Mus musculus: one gene and its partner. The protein of the gene in region 1 purifies or fractionates together with the protein of each later gene. This does not show direct contact. Links are inferred from orthologs where the notes say so. Each region holds a gene or a part of one and is shown in the gene's direction. Other genes may lie near its edges.

Region 1 (3,649 bases):
TTGATAAGACTGGAGGTGTACAGTTGAATAGCTGCCCACGAACACCTAGAAAACGCTGAGCTTCGGGAACTCGCTGTCTCCTCTAAGAGCTAGGGCAGGTGTTCTTAAATGGAGGGTCAGATACCACAAACACCACTGCCACCCAAGCCCCAGTACGTAGGGTCCACTAAGCCAGACTGCTCGGCCACACGGGACCTTCCTTCCCCTGGCCTCACGTGTGCTTGGGTTTGTCTTTCTCATGGGCTTCAGGCCATGACATAAATACCCCTGTGTCCCGCTCATCAGGACACTCCCAGGAAGTGGATCACCTGCGGGAGGCTCTGCTCTCCTCCAGATCCCAGCTTCAGGAGCTGGAGAAGGAGCTGGAGCAGCAGAAGGCTGAGCGGCAGCAGCTCCTGGAAGACTTGCAGGAGAAGCAGGATGAGATCGTGCAGTTCCGAGAGGAGAGGCTGTCGCTCCAGGAAAACAACTCCAGGTAGGCAGGGCCTTGATATGGAATGGCCCGGCTTCTCAGTGCAGAAGGGATATTGACAAATCAGTAGTTTCCTCCTTTGGGAACTTCAGTTCCTTCTTTACTCTTCTGCCTCACTGGTCACTTGGAGCAAAAGGAAGACTCTATTTGAGACACACACACAAAAAGAGAGAATAGTGTTTTTATAGTATGAAGTAGAGTGATAAAATCCTATTACAGAGGTTTCCATCTGTCAGAGACTGGCAGGAGAGCAGTCCCACCCTTCTCACTAGATGCATGACATCACTCTTGCCATAAACTGCAAGTTGTTATCCCAGTGGAAGCCCTGCATCTTTCTGTCAATGTGGAGAGCACTGTGGGGCAGAGAGGGGCTTGTAGTGTGCTTACACTGCTGCCTGCACACAGAGCTAGTGTTCCAACTTCAGGCTAACTAACTTTACCTGCCCCAGAGTCTGCCAAATGAATGTGATGGCCAGGCCATCCTACCAGGCCAACTGAGGCAAAGGTTGGCTCGAGGCTCATTTCTCCCACTTGGCTCAGTAAACCCTTGCCTCTCCTTGGCAGGCTGCAGCACAAGCTGGCCCTCCTGCAACAACAGTGCGAAGAGAAACAGCAGCTCTCCCTGTCCCTGCAGTCAGAGCTCCAGATCTACGAGTCCCTCTGTGAAAATCCCAAGAAGGCCTTGAAAGGTATGAGCCCCCATTCTCACCAAAGCCCAAGGGTTGACATGAGCAGATCAAGCCTGGGTACCCTTAAGGACAGACTGAAAGATCACTTCACCCACTTAATAAAAAAAAGCAACTTAATCAGGAGCAAGATTATAGCATGGTTTATATAAAGAAATACCCTAGGGCTGTCACCATCTGAAAGGATCCTTACCTGTGCTGAAGGACAGACCATGACAGCCCATACCATCAGCATCTATCCCGCCTCCCTTCCCCAAGTGGAGAAACCGACTCAAAACCAAAAGAAAGGAGAGGTAAGAAGTCAGGGCAGTGGGAAGGGAGGCTGCTGCCACATAGAAAGCCTAAAATTCAAGACCAGAGTTTACTTTCCAGGAAGACGGCTCCAGAGTTTTAAGATGCTGAGTCTATGGAACATACTAGAGTCAGGACTTAGGAGACCTCCAGTCTGGGAAGAATTTTGGATAAATGTAGCAGTGTTTTTAGATCAAGAGACAAGGTCCTACTGTGGAGATAAAGGACAGCAATAGCCATGCTAATTCAGAAGGGGGATAGCAAATAAGGCCCCAGCCCTGGGCAGAGGACCACAGGCCCTAGGGAAGAGTGCATCACCTGGTTATCCACCATCAAATGCTCAGCCCAGAAAACACAGGAGTGACATTATAGGGACTGAGCAGGTGTGTGTGTGTGTGTGTGTGTGTGTGTGTGTGTGAAACAATTAGGCCATGAGCTGGAAGGGGGTGGTTATATGGTTGAAAGGGAAGGGTGAAATGATATAATTTCAAAAAAATTTAAAATTGTGATAAGAGATATGGTACAACTGGAAGATAAGGGCAATGAATGCTGGGAATATTTTTTTCAAAAAACAGTCAAAAGTTAGTGAGAACTTGGAATGAGAGGAAGAGAAAACACACTAGAACCTTCATCCATGAAGCTGCTTCATCATGACCACCCTTCCCCTGCACCACACACACACACACACACACACACACACACACACACACACACACACACACTGGGTTTGTGTATCCTTTTCATGCTGTGTTCTGTTAGTGCATGGGCCTTCCTGAGTTCATTTCAAACCAATTACTACTAATTCTTCATTTGAATTCCAAAATCCAGCAAGGTAGCTAAAGCTGCAGGCTTTTCCTGTACTCATTTGATGACAAAGCATTCCTGAAGAGGTGGGAGGACAGCCAGTCTCTGTCTGCTTAGACTGTCCACGTAGCCGGTGACAAAAATAATTATGTGTTGGGCTAAGGCCTGAGGGCTGAGGGCAGCTGCGCCCTGCAGGTAGTTGGAGGTATAGATAAAGTCTTGGTAAAATCCAAAACTAATTCTGCCCTTCAAAATATAAGTGGCTCTCAGGTTGGACTGTTGATTAGATCTTTTTATCCTTCCATATCAAATGCGTGTGGTAAGTGGTGAAGAGAAATTGAAACTTCACTTAGGAATGTTGAGCCCAGGTCTAAGACCTGACTGACTTCCCGTGTTTTGTCCCCAGAAGCCCCACGTGTTCGGATTATCCTCCCTGCATATGGAATCCGTCAGTTGTCCTCCCTCGACCTTCACTCCTTTTTCGTTCAGTGCTGACCTGCTTTCTAGCCTGCAGTACAAAGTTTAACAGGGAGATGACGCAGTAGGCATATTCTCACCTGCCAGTCCAAACGCCTCATGGGCACACATGACTAATCTGACCCTCAGAGAAATCCCAGGCTAGTTATATGCAACCTTGCTGTGCTCCCAGGGCTGAATGAGAAGGTTGTATCCCACAGACGTGTGGCCAAGCCCCTGAGACTCCAGTGGGACCCTTGGCAGAAAGGAATGTCACAGAGCAATATCTGACTATTACATGGAAATGCATACTGGTGCCATTAGGTGTCCTCCCTTCTACTTTCAGCTTTTAGCCTAGATTCCTGTCACCAAGTCCCGGGTGAGTTAAGCTGCCTGGTGGCAGAGATTCGAGCTCTGAGAGGACAGTTGGAGCAGAGCATTGAAGTGAACAACCGTCTTCGGCTACAGCTGGAACAGCAGATGGATCGTGGTGCTGGCAAAGCCAGTCTCGGCCCCATCGCTGTTGGCCAGAGCTTCCCAGACAAGGCAGAGCCAGCAAACCTGCACCAAGGTAGGGAAGAAGAGGAGAGCCAGAGCCCTCTGCTCTGGGATGTCTGTGGGACGGGACAGTCTTGCTGAACCCATCAGTGAGGGTCAGACAGAATCTGGGGATGTTCTGGGGCCTCCCGAGTGACAGCCTGGCAGTTAAGATCAGGCCTGTCTCCAGATTCTGAGTTTGCTTCTCACAAGCCAGCATGCAGCATCCCTGGACTTGAAGCTCAGGGCACAGAGGTAATTACATCTGAAACTTACTTTGTCTTAAACGCTCAAGTGTCTTACTCTTAGTTTACTCCACTTGAAAATGGGGCTTATAAAAAAAAATATAGCCCGTATGGTTTTCTATAGTATTAAATAAAATAATTGTCAAAGGCTTGAAACA
Region 2 (3,749 bases), about 49 Mb from region 1:
GAGGAAACTAATTACTATTTGTACAACACTTAGAACGCAGTATACTTGGTGTACATGCTTGGTAATTTAACATAATTGCCAATAATAGAAGTATGAATCTGTTTAGAATCTTCCACTCACCGCTACTTTTTTTCCCCAATAACAAAACTTTTAAAATGTTCTGGGAAATCTCCTTAGCAGCCAACAACCATCCGTTCATTACGCGCCAACTGTGGTTTGTGCTGCAGACACAAAATAAACTTACATGGTCTCTGCCCTTCCAGAAGTTAATCTTTCTGTTCTAAATTTGGAATGCTTTTTTTTTAGATAGCAAAAGCTCAAAAAAAAAAAAAAAAAAAAAAAAACCAGAACAAAAACTACCAGAGGGCTAGGTGATTAATTTCTAATAACCTCACGGAAAAGCTCAAGTACTCTCAGATGCATGGAAGCGCAACAATCAATTGGGAATGCGTTTATTTTGAAATTTGTGACTGTGTTGATGCACATAACGTACTTGTGTAAAACAGGCAACACATTCCCATATCTCTCCTTAGAAAGCCTGACAGAATTTGTGAGGGCAATCAGGTGAGACCATGAAGAAGGAACTCGGGAAGGGATAAGCTGTCAAGAATGTTGGTGATTGACCTGGTGTGTTGGGAGAATACCTAGAAGAGCGAAGGGAAGAAGTTCCAATGACAGCTGGGAGCTGAGAAAAGACATTCCTGGCCAACGCTGACCTCAGGGTCAGCAGGGTCGGCAGGACGCGGAGGGGCGCACGCACGTCCCTGCAGCCACGCAGGAAGATCAAGCGAGAGCAACCACGGCGTGCGGAACGCGGGCCACACGGATGCGGGAGCAGGCCGAGCCCTGGCACTGTGCCCCCCGCCCGGCTCTGGGGCACCGGATGCCAGGCCGAGGAAGGATCTGGGGTGCTTCCAAACTAACGGTCCCCACGTCCCTCGCTACTTCGAGCTTAGCCTCCGCGGCCAAGCCCAGCATCCACGCAACAAGCAATAAGTTACCGCTACAACCCTGCACAGAGGGGCTCCCGCCCGCCGGGGGGCTTGACCGCGTCACTTCCGGCGCGCCCGCCCGGAAAGAGGCGGAGGTCGCAGTCCGGGTGTGCGGCTCCTGGGGACGCGCCGTGTCGGGGACGCGCGTGGAGGGCGGGCTCGGGAAGGGGGAGTGTCCGCGCGCCGCCGCTGCCGCCGCCGCCACCGCCGCCACCGCCGCCACCGCCACGGTCCCGGTCTCTGCCGGAGAGCTCTCAGCATCTCTCCCGGACACCCAGCCCCTCCGTGCAGCCGGACGCCGCGCTCTAGGGTCTGCGGGAGCCTAGCCAAAGCCTAGCCAAAGTTGCTGCCGACTGCGGGGCGGGCGGCGGGACGGCCCCGGTCCCCTCCCCTCCGTCATCCCTGCTTGCGGACTCCCGGGTCATGGGGAACACTGCGATCGCCAAGAAAGGCAGCGAAGTGGAGAGCGGTGAGTCGAGTCGAAGGCCCTGGCTGGGTTCCCGCCGGATGGGCCGCCGCGCGGTGCAGCGCCCTGGGCCGGTGTCCCCCCCAAGGCCGCGCGCGAGCCACGGGCCGGGCCTTGCAGTGGCCGCGGGGGCCGGCCGCCTCCTCCTCTGTCCCCTCCCCCACGAAGGCTCGGGGGTGAGGGCCAAGCCCCGGGGCTCACTGGAGAGAGGGAAGGCGGGCAGCGAGGTCCCTGTGATCCCCTTTCTTACTAGAGCGAGGAGGGCTGCCACGGTCTGGAACGCGTCCCCAAATATGGTCCTTTTGTGATCGCACCCTTAGCTCTTCTTTCTCCCAGAGCCCCCAACACCCAGACCCTCCTTTAAGGGAGCCACAGGTAGTACGTTTGGGTTGACTTGGCTTTTTCTCCTTCTCCTGGATGTATATCAGTTTTCTCACAAGGTGAGTGTCCGTGAGGGTCTCCAAAGGTGACGTTAACCCTTAGTGTCTAAGGCTCTTTCTTTCACCCAAGAGATTAGAGATGGCAGACATAAATACAAGCAGCAACTTTATCCATTCGAGGAAAAATAAGTGAGACAGCGTTGCGTTTACTCTAGACATCCAGGAATGTTCCAGGATGCCTGTAAAACTTAGAGGCATTTCAGAGTTGAAGTGCTTTCTTCCGAGAGCTGAAAGTTCAGACGTTCAGTACTGTGTACAAAATTTCAAGACAAAAGGGTCGTGGGAATTGAGTTTCTGTGTAGCAACTTGGTTTTATATGTAAGCATACACATATATGCGTGTTGTGTAACAGGCTGTGAGAAAATTGTGTGCCATTATTCGGCTCATATTATAATTTATAATTCACAATAATTAGAGAACGGTCCCTGACTTTTGTTACATTGCCATAGGTTAATGACATCTCAGTCCTTGAAGTAAGTCTGACAATTTGTTCGTGTTACTGTAAGTAACGTCTTCCATTGTGTCTGTGTTTATAACAGAAGAATGAAGCCAATCTTGTAATTAGCTTGAAGCAAACAGCTTTTGATTCTCATGAACAAAGCAGAGTTGAGTTGACAGAAGAGAGTCTAGCTATTGCTTTTGTGGAATGTAAACAACAGTCAGATTTAACGGGTTATGTTTCATCAATAAGGTTCGTTCCAGGGCATGGAACAGCAGGGCAAACTGTTGGTGAGCATGTGACAACTTGAAAAGCCGATGTAGAATTAGGACTTCCTTGTTATCTTAGTAATTGTGCAAATGTAGTAACTAATTGTACAGACTCACAAAAAATGAAGTATGACAAAATACTATATCCATGTAACATTGCTTTTCCCCTATTTCTCTTGTACAATGTATGCTAATTGTGTTATGAAAATATGCTTGATAGTTGGATCAGCCCAGTAATTTTCTTAGCAAGTGCTATCTTGCACAGTTCTTATATTTTTAATGATAGTCCACTCTCCAGCAGTCTATACACTTCCCCTAGACGATATGCATTTAAACTAGCAGCTATGACAAAGTCTTGTGTGAACTTATTTATAGAAACTGAAGAACATTAGAATCATTTGAAAAATATTGTGAAGTGTCGAAAGAAGACAGCAGATGTCCCATGGGATATAGGAGACGGTCATGGCTCAGCTCTCAGGGCTCACAGGGGGAAGTGTCAGCCAGGTGTGCTGGTGCTCTTCTGTAGCAAAGAAGTGGTACAATGTCATAAAACGTAATGACAGAACATGGCTTACCACTCTGTCCCCAACTCTTCTGTGTACTTTTCAGATGAATTATTCCTGAAAATTTGTGGCTCATATTTTAAATGTAATCATTTAAATTTCTCTTGATACACAGAATACACTTTAAGAGATACACTTAAGAGTTTAGTCTACGAAATCATCCTAACTCAAGACCCAACCAAGTGCCAGACCTGAAGAAACAAGAATTGAGATCATGTTATCAACGAGAGAGTAAAGAACAGCTCTGAGGCTCTGACTACCTCTGCATCACTAATTAATCTGTCCTCTCTCAGAGTAGCTACCACCTGCTTGGGTTTCCTCGTAGACCTGTGGACAAGATCCTAAAGTGTCACTTACTGTGTAGCATCAGGTGAAAGGCAGAGTGTCAGTGCTGGAGCTGAGAGTAAATTAGACCACAAGACGTTACCAGCAGCACAGTGTTTGGTTTGAAGAGCTAATTAAAGATAGGAAGGTAAGATTTGCAGTTTGATGAGGAAGTGCCTCCCACAGACAGGGAATTCTAGAGCTTAATTCTAAAAATACTCCCAAGGAATGAAGTTGGGTATAAAGGTAAATGAAC

Evidence for each region. Proteins that work in one complex are often made in the same cells at the same time.
Region 2: the proteins of Pde4dip (region 1) and Prkacb purify together in Homo sapiens (affinity purification with mass spectrometry; 5 studies listed by BioGRID and IntAct, counting the BioPlex papers as one, with this or other methods). This does not show direct contact. The link is inferred for Mus musculus from reciprocal best matches to the Homo sapiens genes PDE4DIP and PRKACB.

What each region holds. Positions count from the first base shown.
Region 1 is NC_000069.6:97,696,621-97,700,269, reverse strand, and holds part of Pde4dip (myomegalin), read left to right. Parts: intron 1-285; coding exon 286-475; intron 476-1,036; coding exon 1,037-1,161; intron 1,162-3,055; coding exon 3,056-3,280; intron 3,281-3,649. UniProt on the Homo sapiens protein: Functions as an anchor sequestering components of the cAMP-dependent pathway to Golgi and/or centrosomes.
Region 2 is NC_000069.6:146,810,350-146,814,098, reverse strand, and holds the start of Prkacb (cAMP-dependent protein kinase catalytic subunit beta), read left to right. Parts: upstream 1-1,152; 5' UTR 1,153-1,415; coding exon 1,416-1,461; intron 1,462-1,468; exon of another isoform or gene 1,469-1,898; intron 1,899-3,749. UniProt on the Homo sapiens protein: Mediates cAMP-dependent signaling triggered by receptor binding to GPCRs.